Linked DNA regions of Zea mays. The protein of the gene in region 3 interacts with the protein of the main gene of each other region in a pairwise test. Links are inferred from orthologs where the notes say so. Each region holds a gene or a part of one and is shown on either strand. Other genes may lie near its edges.

Region 1 (4,921 bases), about 70 Mb from region 3:
AACTTTTGTGAGAAAATGAAAATTAAAAGTCATACTTATAGTATACTATATAGTATAGACGACATCGCAGTAAAAATTAATAATAATTATGAATTTTTTTAATAAGACGAGCCAATCAAACTTGTGATAAAAAAGTCAAATGGATTATAAATTGAGACGGGAGAGTATTGTAGATGTTAATGATATATTTTGCAACGAACGCATTAGCGCAGGGAGTGACATTGATACAAAGCAAACGGAGGGTGTGACAGACCATGGGCCTTTGGAGTTGCCTACAAATATTGTCAGCAATTGGCTTTTGAATCAAACATCACATAAATAATATCCAAAGCACTGCGATTTCCACAAACCACTGCCGGAGTCGAACGTGCCGAAGACATCAATACAATAAACTGAAGCATTGGCTAATTCCATACCTACAAACTGAAGCAGCGCTATATTTTACATATGATTAAAAATAAGAGTACAAGACATTGGAACTGGCGACTTTGCCATGCGAATCTACAATGCAGTTGTTTCAGTTTTTTTTGATCTTTTAGACAAAAAATATACAAATATATAGACCATAGAATCTATCTAGACCGATAAAAGGAAACTTCTCCGATGAAAACAAAATACACTAAAATCTTCTAGTCTAACTTTTTTAATTAATTTTCCACTATTTTTTCTCATACCGATTACCCAACAACATACTGGAAGTAGTTACGAACAATAGCATATAGCATATAAAACAGATGAACCATGTGCAACGAAACTAGTCAGTAGCGGTCATCGTCGTCGTCGTCGGGCCTGCTTGCCAGGCAGAGCTCATGTAGCTCGTTCAGTATCCACTCCTCCCCGGTGTGGCCTCCGAGGACGAGGACCCTAGTGCCGCCAACCACGCAGGTGCTGTGCCCCCAGGCGAACTTGGGGGGTTTGCCGGGAACGTTCAGGATCCTCCACGTCGGCTTCTCCTCTGCTGGATCGACCAGGAACAGCTGCGCCGGGGAGTGGAGTCCCGCGATGGAGCCACCGAATATGATGATCCGTCCACAGGGCAGGCTCACCGCAACGTGATCGAGCCTCGGCGGTGGGCCGACGTTTGGGAATCCGGTCGTCGCCAGCTGCCTCCACTGCGGACTATCTTCGCCGACGTCCATCGTGTAGGCGTCGCTGGAGCGCAGCCGGAGCGAGCCGCTCTTCGCCAGCCCACCGAACATGAGCAGTTTAGTCGTACCGTAGACGGACATGGTGTGGCCGAGGCGGGATGGGGGTGACCAAGATGTGGGAATTTCCCTCCACGCAGGCTTCTCCTTGGTGAGGTCAAGCAGGAAGGTGTCGCTGAGGAGAACGCCAGACTCGGTGCAGCCACCGGAGACGACCAGCTTCGAACCATCCAAGGTGCATGAGCTGTGCCAGGACCGTGGCAGTGGAGGACCCTCGCTTGCAACCTCCCTCCACGTTGGCTGCTGAGCGTCAAGGTCAAGGACGAAGACATCATTGAGCAAACCTTGCTGTCCGCAGCCCCCAAATACCACCAGCCATGACCCGTTCAGCCACGACAGAGTGTGCCCCCACCGGCCTGGTGGGGAGGCGGAAACCTTCACGCGGCGCCATTCCGGCCTTGCAGCCTCCATGTTAAGCACAAAGGTGTCGTCCATAGGCTGCATGTTGACACCCTCCCCTCCGAAAAGGACCAAGCGGTTACCAACAGCACAGGCACTGAAGTTGCATCGGGAAGGCTCGACGCGCCCTCCAACCGTGAACTTCCTCCACGAGGCGGCCTCAAGAGTAGTTAGCTCTCTCGCAAGACGGCCCCATCCTACCATCTTGGTGCTCATCTCAAGCTTGACAGTGGCATCCCTTCCCCACGCGTTCTGGCAGACCATCTTCCTCAGGTGATCATTCTTGGTAAGCTCATGCATCCTGGTACAGACGGATCCAATGGATGCGACATCTCTAGGTGACAGGCGAGACAGAATGTTGTGTGCGAGAACTTCGTCTGACAACTGAAGTATACCGCAGTGGTCTGCACTCTGGACTTTCGGAGCATGCTCATGGGAAGCTGAGTTCAGATCTTGAATGCTGGGCCTGTTGTTGGTCTGTTGCTTGTACACCGGATACGACACGCTGCTGAGATCGATGTTTGCCTCGGAGAATAGTTGGATTCCAATCACATGTGTCACGTAGCCATCATCCCCGTGCATTGGAATGAGACTTAATCTGTTGTAAAGTGGAGCGCCATCCTTCCGGAAATTTAGCAGCTCGCCATGGAATTCAATCCCCTCGTTGAGGCATCGCCGGATCTCTGAAACGACCATGGGATCAACAAGGGGATGTCGCCTCTGGGCTCGTGGATCCCGAAATTGCAGGAATCGGCTGAAAGACAAGTTTGAGTGAACACAGTTTGTGAGATGCTCCGATAGGCCCTCTGTCAAGTTTGGCACTGTTAGCAAATTTAAGGTTGGCACAAGCAATCATAAAATAACTACTCAAGACGTTATAGTATGGAATTATTTGGATCGACTAGCCTGACAAAAATAAATGACCTCTCTCTGCTTCCATGTGGATGTTCGCTACCTTATGTCAACATTAGCAGGAAACAAGTTCCTAAACTGGCCGTTACCATGCTGCTACTTCGGCACAGCATTTGAATTTCTACCAATTTCATTCACTACTGAAGATCTGATGCTAAATGCGAATACGACTTCATACTCGATACAATGACCACCTAGCTTCTATTCAACATAATGATATGAAGTAAACTGGAATTCCCAATGATTTCCTATTCTTCCATTAACATCCAGTTTCAGAGAACATAATCACAACCAGGTTTTGAGTCTACCACCTGCAAGTCATGGCCAACAAATACTTTTTGTACACCCATATATTCTAGGTATTATTATTCTTGAAGAATTCCTTTCTCTATGTGCATGTGGCCAACTTTAGAAGTGCAACCTAAATATCAAGCAAAATATATCATAGGTAATCATCAACATGCTCTCCCTCTTCGTCAAGCAAGCGGCATTCCGCAGCAGCCCAAATCTGTCAGTCCCCAAGCAGAGAAAAACAGAGCAGAAAACAGAGCGGAGGCCAGGAGCATAGCATAGCATAGCACTGACCAGTTGCGCCCGAGCACCTCGTGGGCGCGGTACCCCGTGGCGGACTCGAATGCGGCGTTGACGTATATGACGGGGAAGTCGGGCTCCGCCGCGTCCGCCACGACGATCGCCGCAGCCCTGGAGAGCCCCGCCGCCGGCGTTCCCCACGGCCATCCCGGCTCCGCGTCCACCTCCATCCCCTCCTCCTCCACTTCCACCTCGTCCTCCTCCCACAGCCTCATCCGCTTCACCGCCACGGCCCCCGCGTCGTCAAACATGCGAGGCCGGCCGCCCGCCCCTCCACACCCGCTTTCTCCCTCCTCGGCGTGCGTCCGTGGTTGGGTTGGGTGCGGGAGGAAAATGGAGATCAGATTCTGCTGCCAGGTAGGGGAGATATTTCTGCCCCTGATTTTTATAGGCGCGGGAAGAGCGGCAGAAAAGGGGCGTGGTTGCATGTTATTTACGGAATCTGCCCCGACGGGGTGGCGAAAAATATCTCCCGCGGAGGCGGCAGGGTGGGCCCGCGGAGGCGAGGGAGTGCGTCAGCTGGGTCCGGTGGACCAGGCACTGGATCTCCCAACCAACGGTGCGTCGTGGTTTTCCTTCGCTTCGCAGGAAAGAAGCCGGTGGAGACTGGCAGCACGTCCCATAGTATTCCTTTTGGAAATTGAAATATAAATAGTGGCATTTCTTATATAAAAGAAATTGCATGTACTTTTCTTCCTTGACACAGAACATGTCTTAAGGGTGTGTATACATAATTACTGGCCTCGATTCGGTATGTAGCTTCGCCCCTCAGCATGACCAATAATATTCCTTTTGGAAATTAAAATGTAACAAGGGTATTGGCTACAATTACCGGTATAAGAAAGAAATTGCCTTTTCTCTCTCAATAGAAAAGAAATTGCATTTCCTTTTCTTCCGCGACGCTGCTGTCGCGTGCACGACATTGCTCTTTCGGTTTTCTTCAAATTAATGCGAATGTGTAAAAGCCACCTGCTCTCTACTCTCCAGATTATAAGAGACGTACACGTACTAAGATTTTTTTTAAAAGAAAATATTACTATAGCCTTTTGAACAATAGCTTAGTCAACAAAATTTAACTATTTAACACAAACTTTTATTGGTGTTGGACCTCGCTCTCACAAGCAAGGGGGGCCAACAAGGGTGAACAGTGACGTTAGTAGGGTTACACGCTAGATGACAATAACTCTGTTAATCTGGCCTCCCACGGGCACTGTGCGGGGGTATTTATAGGTACCTGAGCGCCCAGCGCCTTGTGCTAAGGACGCATGTGCCCTCAGCTACCTAGGTTATCCCCAGAATATTCTCATAAAGCAGGGTTACAGACTGTAATTACATGGATGCCTTTACAAATTAGGGCCGTAACACGCGGCGGCCACGCAGGGCCCGTTACAATGGGCCGGATCACACGTGGGCCTCTGAGCTGGACGAGGACGCACTGTGGGATGACGCCGTCGCAGGCCTTCGTCTGGTGCCGAATCGAGCGAAGGGTGTCCCTGCCCGTTTTGTCTCTGTCAGACCAGCGACTGCAGCGAAGGCCTCGAGCGAAGGGTGACGTCTTTGCCTTCGCCCCAACATTTGCCCTCCGAGGGACCAGTTCGACAAAGTCACCTGGTGCCGAAGACGTCGCTAGATGGCGGAGACGCTGCCCTCGCTCGAAGTGGTTCCGCGGGGGTTTTTGACATGACCGTTGATTGACAGCGTACTGTTGGATTGCGGGTTTCCCGAAGCGCCGCGCCCTGTTGAATTGCGGGTTTCTCGAAGAGCCACGCCCTGTCTATAAAAGGGGGCGGGGGTCGGCGGTTTTTGAACTTCAC
Region 2 (4,948 bases), on a different chromosome or scaffold from region 3:
TCTTGATGTTCAAATGATATTTAACTATGGTATCTCTACTGCAAATTGGCAAAACTTTCATATTAGTACGTGCTCTTTTGGCCCTATGCATACATCTGCAGAATAATGTGGTTACATATCTGCTTAAGCATGCAGCTTTGAACAATTGTTAGCTAGCTCGTTATTATTTGCAAAGAGATATAGTTAAAGCAGAGCCAGTATATGGACACAAATATCTTTGTGCATATGATCACTGAATGCCTGAGGAAATAAGACATACTGATCCAAGAAAACTTCAGTGAATCCCAAAAAAAAAGAAAAAAAGCACCGGCTGCCAAGAAATGTTTCTTGTAACCAGGTTCCATCTACCATCTACATTTGACACAAAACTTAGGAGCATCTTAGCTCGCTAAAGCTAGACGTCCTGTCATGGCCCTGTCTTGATTGATTGGACTCTTTTCAACTGACGGATCTGCTTCGTGGATCTTGAAACTCGTTAGGCTCTTTTCCAGGATGAGTTGGCGCTGATATTCACATCTGCAGCCTGTTAGTCGAGACCTGAAAAGTCATGAGCCATGTTCTCTATTAGGATACGAATATTTTGTGCCAAATTCAATGATTTGTGTCAAGTTTTGCATTGAGTCAGGTCACACACACACAGAGACTCACCTGCTGAGTGTTTTTCATGTTTCAGCCTCATTTCTTCCTGTACAAATAGCCCTGTTGCCACCACCATCCAAAAACTGATCGCTCTCGGTTTGTGCTGAAGAGGGCACACTAAAATGCTGTCTCTCAGCCTGGAACCATTGTGAAATTTGGATATAAGAGATCCAGGCGAAGATCTTTTCAGCTATTTTTATATACACTATTTGTGAAACGCTACCTGCACGATAGTCTGAGGATCTGATGCTGTTGCTGCTGCTGTTGATGCTCCATTATTCAGGCTCTGATGCTGCTGCTGCTGCTGTTGCTCCTGCACCATGTTAGCCATGGCGGCTGAGGAGGCGTGAGGAGGTGCCAGGTTTGGCCTGACAGGAAGGCCCGCCAAAGATGGGAATGGTGGCTGGATTGGTTGCCCAGGAGGGACTCCGAACACCGGCATCGTGTTTCTGGCAGGCATTCCGATTCCGAGACCCCGTGGTAGTGGCGCGCCTGGGATCATCGGGCAAGGGAAGTGAGCACCGGGCATGTGCGGAAATGGAACCGCCGCCGCCGCCGCCGCCGCGCTGTTCATATCGAGGACACCCATCCCGTAACCCAATCCCATGCCGAGATGAGGGAAGTGAGCAGCAGCCGGAGGAATCTGCAGGTGCTGCATGGCTGGTGGCAGCAGCATGGGAGGAATGCACAGCCCACTTCCCATGGACATCATCTGTGTGATGTGTCAGTGCATCAAAGAGAACCACCATATATCTTGTCAGTGCATCGATCTATATGGAAGAAGAACCATGCTACATTTCGAGTTTTAGTCAGTGTACCTGCACTTGAAGCTGGAGGGTTTTGAGGTACTCGATCGCTTCGTCCAGCATGGAGGCCTTGTCAATCTGCGCGCAATGAGAGAGATGATGAGACGATACATCTGTTTATTGCTACCAGTTCCATCTACCATCTACATTTCATACCTTGTTGCAGTTGGGGATGAGCTCTTGCAGGGCACGCATTTTTTCATTGATCCTGTCCCTTCTCCTCTGCAGGTTTGTTGTTGCATTGCATTGCATGCATTACAGTGCGGTGAGTTCAAGTGCACAGCTCCAGGCTCCAGCTCGAGATCGATCGCATGGCATATTGGCATGGGACTTACCCTTTCGGACAGGTTGTGCACCTCCGCGGTGCGGCTGCGCTTCGCACCTCTGCTGCACGATCTTCTCATCCCACCGGACTCATCGTCAGGATCCTGAAGAGAAGAGAACCAGTGTTAGATACTCCAGTGTCCAAGGTGTGCGATATCTTCACATCCTCTGCTTACATCATCTTGACTCGCGGAACACTCGGCCTGCAGGGTCTTCCTCTTCTGTTGGCGCCAGGACTCGTCGTCCTTTCCTGTCCCAGCACCATTGCCGGAGCAGACCGATGAGGTGGCGGTGGCGCCCGCAGCCTCTGACGCCTTCCTGGTCTCTACTTCTTTCTGCGGAGGAGTCATGTTGTTGTTGCTAGGTCTTTCTTGCTGCAGGTTACCAGCCGTCGGCGTCGGCGGTGGCGCTGCTGCTGCGCATGGAAACCGCACCTCCTTGGGCTGCTGCGACGGCCACGCCGTCCTCTGGTCCACGAACACGGCGGGGGCAGCTGCAGTTCTCGGCCCACTGGCACTGGCCGACTGTAGCACCGTCGACTCCACGCGGGTGCTCGTGGTGGCATTGGACGCCTTGTCGGTGCCTGTCTGTGGCGGCCTCTGCCGCAGGCTGGCACGCGCCATGGCTGCCGGCCTAGAGAAGATGGAGAAGTTCATCAAAGCCTCCCCGCCGCCGCTCTCCTGCCGAGGCTTCCTGGCGGGCGCGAGCTCAGCTTGTGGTTGTGGCTCAGGCCTGCCGGCTGGACCTGGTACTGGTGCGCGGTGGGTTTCCTTTGAGGGCTCTGGTCCTCTGCCGGTGGTGGGATTGGGAACCGGGGTGCTCCGGTTGTCGTTGTCGTCGCCGGTGTGCTGGACTGCTGGTGGTGGTGGTGGTGGTGGTGGCAGAGGGCCGAGGCTCGTCGTCGCCGCCGCCGCATGCAGCTCCGAGAAGAAATCTGGGATGAAGCTATCTGCCAGGGCAGGCGCGGCGGGACTGGCTTCGTCGACGATGGGGATGGGGTAGTGGATCCACGGCACGGTGTCGTCGAGGTCGGCGTTGTCACGGGGGGCGTCTAGGCCGGCGGTGGCCGAGGAGAAGTCGGCAAAGAGACCTCCTCCCGTCTTGAGCAGCGGCGGCACCGGCTGCCTTTGTTGAGCTCTGCTGCTGCAGGTGAAGGTGAAGGGCGGGAAGGCGGCCTGCTGGGGCGGGTGTTTCCTCGTCCGCGCGTGCACCACCGCCTGGCCGTTCTCCCATAGCAGCTCGGCGAAGTCGCTGCTGTCGGACCTGCTAGGCAGCGGTGTTAGCAAGCAAGCAAGCAAGCAAGAACCCGGAGACAAGGTTGAGCTTGAATGAGAAGGAACCGCTCACATGGTGCCGGGGGTCGGAGCTCGCAGCTGGGAGAGGACAGAGGACACACGCTTGGCTTGATGAAGGTGATGGGAGCAGCAGGGCTCCTTGCTCATAAGATACGGTGTCGGTGAGCAAAGCACTGGGAACGGACGTCGTAGATAGGTGCAGTGCAACATGCAACAGGAGACGCTGCTGCTTGGTGTAGACTGTAGAGTGCTACAGGAGGGAAGGTCGTCGGGACGGGAGCTCTCGCGGCGAGCGGGGGCAGGAGGGGCACAGTTGTTGTTGATAAGGTGGGGGACCTGGGCAAGCGCTAGCTGTGACGGAAATGGACAAGCAAGCACGGTGCTCTGTACCGGCCAAGCTAGGTGTGTATCCACTGTGCTGTGCTTGCCACAGTCTCTTCCTTGTACTCTTCTTCCTCTCCTAGCTAGGAGTTGAGTTGGGCATACAGTGGCAATTATTTTTCGTTGCGCAGTTGGCTGATCCCACAACCACAAGCTTGTTACTACTACTGCTCCGTAGTACTAGTACTTGCACAGCGAGATCTAAATGATTGGATGGCTTCTTTCTTCCTTCCCTGCTGCGCACCTTGACAGCCTGCGCAAAGCAACTGCACCCCAACCCCCCAAGTGTGCATGTACTTGCTGGTACAGAAACCGAGCCGTCTATGGGCATGCGAATTAACAATTACTATCAGAACCGACGGCTTTGCCGAGTGTCTGAAACACTCGGCAAAGCCTTAAAAACACTCGTCAAAGGTTTTACCGAGTGTCGCACTCGGCAAAGAGGGCTCGGCACACAGTGCATCGGCAAAGTCTTCTTTGCCGAAAAAATTTTCTCGGGCACTCGACAAAGTGATTTGCCGAGTGCCAGAGAACACTCGGCAAAGAAAAGCAGACGTTACGGCGCCGGGTGACGAAGACGGCGTCTTTGCCGAGTGACTGCCTGACAACACTCGGCAAAGAATCCGCCGGAGGGGTTCCCCATGTCAGGTACTTTGCCGAGTGCTTGGTGTGGCACTCGGCAAAGCGTGCTTCTTTGCCGAGTGCCAGAGCCATTACACTTGGCAAAGAACCTATACCGGTGCCCAGGTCTTGGTTCTTTGCCGAGTGTTATGGTTCTGACACTCGGCAAAGAGGTGCTTTGCCGAGTGTTACACTCGTCAAGACCAGTACACACCTTTTTTATTTGTTTTCCCTATTCCATCCAAACAAACAAAAGATATTTCATAGATATCACATATATACATCACAGACATATATAGCCAACACAAACAGTATTAACACAAATTCTGACATAAGTATTCAACATAAGTTGAGAGGTTCTCAACACAAACAGTATTAACAGAAGTTCAGAAGTATCAACACAAGTTTACACGCTCTGACAAGTATTCAACATAAGTTTTGTGTTCGAAACACTAAATACATAACTCTCATGGAGGTGGGCGGTTGGACTGGTGCTGCGTTAGGTTGTACCCTTCATGAGGGTTGTTGGATGCCGCCCCAGATTGGCCCTGCACAGAGAAGAGATTGCATGTGTTATACCAGATGCATTACCAACATGTAACTACAATTTTGGTACTCACAGAAGTATGGAACATAGCAGGGTCAACTGCAGGGAACAATGGAGGTGGCGGAGCGAAACCCTGTGCAGCGCCTGTTGGAGACTTGTTCTCAAATGCTATGAGTTAAGAACAAGGCAACATAGAAAAATGTTAATTGTTGAAGTCCTTCGTCCTTCGAAGCATTATTCCTCTCAGGATATAATGATTTTCGGACGAAGGTTATGAAGGGTGTACCTTCATAAATACAATGACGAAGGATGAATTATAAGGAATATAAAGAATA
Region 3 (5,229 bases):
ACAAAAAATATTTTAAAGGTAAATAAGACCAAACACTTGAAAGAAAAATCAAATACTATATTTACCACTAATAATCTAAATGCATTATTTCTAGTTGATTGTTTTGAGGTGTTAGACCGGGCAATGGCCGCCCTTCGCCGGAGACGTGGTCGGCCGCGCCGCCGAGGCCGGGGCTTGCCGGCGTCATCCCTCCCCCCTCCCCCCACTTGGCGGCGTGGCGGCAACCGCCACGGACCGGTTCGAGGGCCTCTAGGCCCTCCTATTGGAGGAGGAGGTTGAGGCCACCCCATTGGGGCGGTGGCTGGTGAAGATGATGCGTCCGCGCGGGGCATCTACGATGTGAGGGGTTGTCCACGACAGGCAGCGATGGTCCCGGCGACAAACGTCTCTAGCAGGGTTGGGAACGATGATGAACTGCCGCTGCAGTGGGGGGAGGAGGCGATGGTGCCAAGTCAACCTCCATGGGTGTGGTCGCCGACGACTCCGCGTCTCCCATTGGCACCGACGGTGATGGGAGCGCGATGGGGAGGCCGCATTCAACCACCGGCAGCGGCACTATCGCTGTCTATCCGTGGAGCACGAAAAAGTCCACGTTGTGCACTTGAACGCGGCGTGCAATGATGGCGTTCACCGGTTGGATCGCTGCATCTTGGCCAGCGGCGTACGCCTCCAACAGTGCATCATCGACGACATGGAGAACTTCACGCATTCGACGGATGCGAACGAAAACGGTTTGCTCCATGCCTCTCCTGTCGTTTTGGAGGCTGGTGCCTCCGTTCTTGTCAAAACAGCGAGCGTTCTTCTTCTTCTCTCTCTATTCTCGTGAGCACGTGCTAATAATGTGTTGTAATTAGTGAAAACGAGGTTAGTGAGAAAGTGACAACAGTTAGTTCTTTATTACAAAGGTGTTTTGTTTATATACATATGAAGGGGTGTATCACAAAGGGGTGTATCCCTTGGAAAAAATATGTCGCATTCCTTGGATCTTTGATTGGTCACATATACTCCCTCCATTCCAGAAAGGTTGTCGTTTGACTTTTTTTAGACCAAATTTTTACCGGTTTGGCTTATTCAAAATATTTGTGAAAATATAGAAAGTTTTAGTTTATAATTAAAGTAAACGGTATGATACTAAATCATAATGAAAAATAATAATTATAAATTTTTTTGAATAAAACGAGTCAATCAATCTTTATCTCAGAAAAGTCAAATGATATTCTTTCTGGAACAGAGTATAATATTTTGTAACAACGAGAGGAGATTAGCGCGAGGTCGCGCTCCTGACCCCACCTAGCCGGTCTGTGTCTGTCCTTCCACGTAATGACGTAAATAGTAACACTGTCCAGTCCAGGAGCAACCCAAAAGCGTGGGCGTGGCTCCACCTCGTCCTTTTGCCAAAAATCGCAGTACAGGTCTAAAGAAATCTAAAATCGCACAATCGATGGCCGACGAGGATTATAACATTTCAGCGACTAGTTCGCGGACACGTAGCCAAAAGCGAAGCATTTGACGGAGGCGAGTTTTAGATATTTTCACCCGCTCCGTCAGTCAGCTGCTGCTTGCACGAGACGTCGGTACGGGCGGCCGAGATCTCCTGGCCGCCTCGCCCAAGCGCGCTCAGCCGTTCCTTGCTTTTATTTTACTCCCCGGCCGCGGCGCCGTGCGGCTGGCTCTGCATTCTCCCCTCCGGCCCTCCCCTCGTCTTCTCTTCTCTTCTCCCCGCGGAGCGAGCGAGAGAAGCAAGGCCGCTCCGTGCCCCCAACCCCGCTCACTGAGCAAAGCGGAAAAAGCGAGGAAAATATCCTGCTCCAGCGAAGCACCGCAGGCCGCAGCCGCAGCCGCAGCAGAGAAGAGCAGACGCCATCGCCCGCAGCCGCCGCCCCCGGAGAATGGTGCGGGCCGGACCGCGACGGGCGAAGGAGGGCGCCGCGGCCCCCGGCGGCCCCCGCCGCCGCTGATAGTAGTCTACCTGCTGCTAACCAGCCATCTGAAGGCACAGTGGTCGCACGCGAGGGGCCCGGATTGATTGGGTGATAGGCGGCGGGCGCAGATCCACCGACCCCCTCGTCGTGCGCCTGTGTCTCTGGTTCCGGTCCGTGTCCCCTTGGCCGCTTGGTGGAGGCCGGAGGCGTGGTCGGTGCGTTTGGAGTTTGGGTATGGCGGGTGGCGGCGAGGGGGATCGCGTGGGTGTCGGGGGAGCCCAGCAGTTCGTGGACCGGAGCAAGGTGAGGATTCTTCTCTGCGACGGCGACGCCACCAGCTCCCGGGAGGTGCTGCGGCTCCTCTGCAACTGCTCATACCATGGTTAGCCTTAGTCAACCTTTGCACCCCCACGTACTTAGTTTCTCTAACCGTTGGGATTTCCGGATTTAGGACTCTGCTTGCTTCTCACCATGGGCTTAATCATTAGTAGTACTATAGATACTACCAATACGATGGCTTGTAATGATAGGGATCTGTTGGGTGTCATGTGTGCCTTCAGCTTACTGTTGTGCTGCTGTTGTGACGGTAAACTTTCTCTTTCAGTGACCTGCGCCAAGTCTCCGCGGCAGGTGATCAATATCCTCAACTACGAGGGCGGCGAGATCGACATCATCCTGGCTGAGGTCGATCTTCCGGTCTCCAAGTGCTTCAAGATGCTCAAGTACATTGCCCGGAACAAGGACCTGCGTCACATCCCCATCATAAGTAGGCTGCATTCCTATACTCTGCCTGCCTCGTGCCTGTTACTGTGATTGTGCTTGCTGTGACCATCCTCCTGTTCGATGGAACCGTGCAGTGATGTCCAACAGAGACGAGGTGTCTGTTGTTGTCAAGTGCTTGCGGCTTGGCGCCGCCGAGTACCTGGTGAAGCCGCTGCGCACGAATGAGTTGCTGAACCTTTGGACCCATGTGTGGCGGCGGAGACGGATGGTAAAGGGCACTATGCTGACTCACCTTAACCTCTGCGTTTAGAAGCATGCTCTAGGCTGAGATGCTCGTAGGCGTTGATGTACCGCCGTGAATTATTCTTTAAATCGAGTGCTGGTGTTGGCAGCTTGGTTTGCCCGAGAAAAACTTCTTCAATGACAACTTCGAGTTGGTGCTCTCAGAACCTAGCGATGCCAATACCAATAGCACCACCCTCCTCTCAGACGAGACCGACGATAGGCCTAAAGGAAACACGAATCAAGAAACAGGCACCTCAAAGCAACTTGAATACGAGGTAATGAACCAAGCACCCATTTGGAAGATTGTTGCAGTCCAGGTTTTTTTTATGTTTCCAGTTCTGTTCTTTGACGTTGCCACAAAGATCTGCCCTTTTGGCTCTATGTTGTATGTTGATGACATGCTAACAGTATACTTGTTTAAATGCCCTTCCACTTGGCGTGTTTCAGTCTAATCCTTCGGTTGCTGAGCCCGACCAGAGAGAAAAGATGGAGGGTGTTCCAGGCTCTGCCCTAGATGCCAGTAAAAAATGTAAGATGTTTCAGCCGGACCTTTGTTCTGCCCTGGAATATCTGATCTTGTATTGTTAATCACCTTTATTTCTCTATCTGTTTTCTGATCAATTATTTTAATTGCCAGCCTCTCCAAGAAGAGCGTTTTCACGCCCTATAAAAACTAACCTGAGGGTTGCCGAGTCGTCTGCATTTCTAGCATATGTCAAGCCAAGCACCCCAGCCACCAGCTCATTTGACAGCGAATTACAAAGGGGTGGCAGCCGATTAGATTCCTTGGATAACCAGGGTAATTGCTCTAGCGCAACCGATAGAAGTGACACTGGTACTGATGTAAATATTCGGAGTAAAGAAGCTTTTGAGATGCCTGCGCAGTACCCTATGGTATGGTTTTCTTCCTCTAACATGCATATGGAGCGAAGCAGCGAAGGCCATAATGATACTTCAGGAACTCCACCTGCATACCATTTCCCATTTTATTACCCAGGGATGGTAGAGCACAACATGGCACTTTCGTCGGCGCAAGATTTTCAAGCAAACATAAACAATGCTCAAGCACATACACCGCCAGCGATGCTTCCTCAGTACAATGTTTATCCTCAGTGCCATGGTTTACCTGTGATACCATCATTTCAGTTTAATCCTTCTGGCATGAGTACGCACTCAAGTCATTTACCAACGCAAAATGTGTGGTCATCGGCATCGAGCACACCACCAGTGCCTGAGGAAACATGCAGTCGCTCTGAAAGGAGGGCTGCAGCACTTGCCAAGTTCAGGCTGAAGAGGAAAGAGCGCTGCTTTGACAAGAAGGTGAGGTATGTGAACCGGAAGAAACTCGCTGAAACGAGGCCAAGGGTGCGAGGTCAGTTTGTTAGACAGCCAACCAATACGGATGTCATCAGCATTGGAGATGATATATCTGAAGACGAAGATGACGATCCATCGTCCAGGGAGGTAGATATGGTTTCTTCTCCAGAGTAGTAGTGGAGAGGTCCTCCATGTGAAAAAATAGACTGCAGATGGTTACTGCTCATCTTGTTACAACTCAGTAGACCTAGGCAATACACCCTTTTTGCTCACACACAGTATTACATTTTTGTCCCTAAAACATGTGGCTGTTACCCTGGTTGCTTTAATGAAGAAATCATCTTTGATAAAGTGTAGCTGAAGTTTTGCTAGTTATTGTTGCACAGACCAGTCTAATCAATATGATCTTATGGCAGGATAATCTTTTGAGAAAAACAGGGCTATTATTGTACATTCCTCCTATTATTCCTTATTCCATGTGTCTTTTAGATGACCAAGGATCCATTTCTGGAGGAATGGGGAACTACGTTGATTAATACTCATATGTTTATGTTGTGTGTTAACTAGTCAATTTATAGGTATCACCCAAAAATTCAGCGGCAGCTTGGACAGATCAAACAACTTTATATCCTAAACAATGAATTAAACAAGGAAAATTGTTTAACAGCCAAGAGTTAAAAAAACAGTTAAAACGGTAAGAGAACAGACTTAAGGCTCTTTGATATCTGTGGAGTCGTTAGAACTTATGAGGTTTTTGAATGCACTAAAATTAATAGTTAGCTGCTAAATTTAGTTATAGTTATCCAAACAATCAAGCTAATGGTTCAACTATTAGCTACTTTTAGCGAATTATCTAATAGTTAGATAGTTACTCCCTCCGTTTCTTTTTATTTGTCGCTGGATAGTGCAATTTTACACTATCCAGCGACAAATAAAAAGAAACGGAGGGAGTATTTTTTAGCTAGCTAATTTCATTAGCAAA

Evidence for each region. The genes of interacting proteins can lie anywhere in the genome.
Region 1: the proteins of two-component response regulator-like PRR1 (region 3) and Adagio-like protein 3-like interact in a two-hybrid assay, tested with the Arabidopsis thaliana proteins (2 studies listed by BioGRID). The link is inferred for Zea mays from reciprocal best matches to the Arabidopsis thaliana genes TOC1 and FKF1.
Region 2: the proteins of two-component response regulator-like PRR1 (region 3) and Transcription factor PHYTOCHROME INTERACTING FACTOR-LIKE 15 interact in a two-hybrid assay, tested with the Arabidopsis thaliana proteins (3 studies listed by BioGRID). The link is inferred for Zea mays from reciprocal best matches to the Arabidopsis thaliana genes TOC1 and PIF3.

What each region holds. Positions count from the first base shown.
Region 1 is NC_050099.1:216,203,083-216,208,003, forward strand, and holds Adagio-like protein 3-like, read right to left. Parts: upstream 3,425-4,921; 5' UTR 3,359-3,424; coding exon 3,102-3,358; intron 2,359-3,101; coding exon 759-2,358; 3' UTR 415-758; downstream 1-414. UniProt on the Arabidopsis thaliana protein: Component of an E3 ubiquitin ligase complex that plays a central role in blue light-dependent circadian cycles.
Region 2 is NC_050103.1:1,249,553-1,254,500, reverse strand, and holds Transcription factor PHYTOCHROME INTERACTING FACTOR-LIKE 15, read right to left. Parts: upstream 3,425-4,948; 5' UTR 3,275-3,424; coding exon 3,117-3,274; intron 3,033-3,116; coding exon 1,946-3,032; intron 1,874-1,945; coding exon 1,781-1,873; intron 1,668-1,780; coding exon 1,602-1,667; intron 1,524-1,601; coding exon 1,458-1,523; intron 1,352-1,457; coding exon 863-1,351; intron 777-862; coding exon 663-776; 3' UTR 649-662; intron 538-648; 3' UTR 239-537; downstream 1-238.
Region 3 is NC_050099.1:145,826,222-145,831,450, forward strand, and holds two-component response regulator-like PRR1, read left to right. Parts: upstream 1-2,027; 5' UTR 2,028-2,156; coding exon of another isoform or gene 2,157-2,304; intron 2,305-2,526; coding exon of another isoform or gene 2,527-2,636; coding exon 2,637-2,688; intron 2,689-2,779; coding exon 2,780-2,913; intron 2,914-3,037; coding exon 3,038-3,205; intron 3,206-3,377; coding exon 3,378-3,459; intron 3,460-3,567; coding exon 3,568-4,421; 3' UTR 4,422-4,668; downstream 4,669-5,229. UniProt on the Arabidopsis thaliana protein: Controls photoperiodic flowering response. Component of the circadian clock. Expression of several members of the ARR-like family is controlled by circadian rhythm.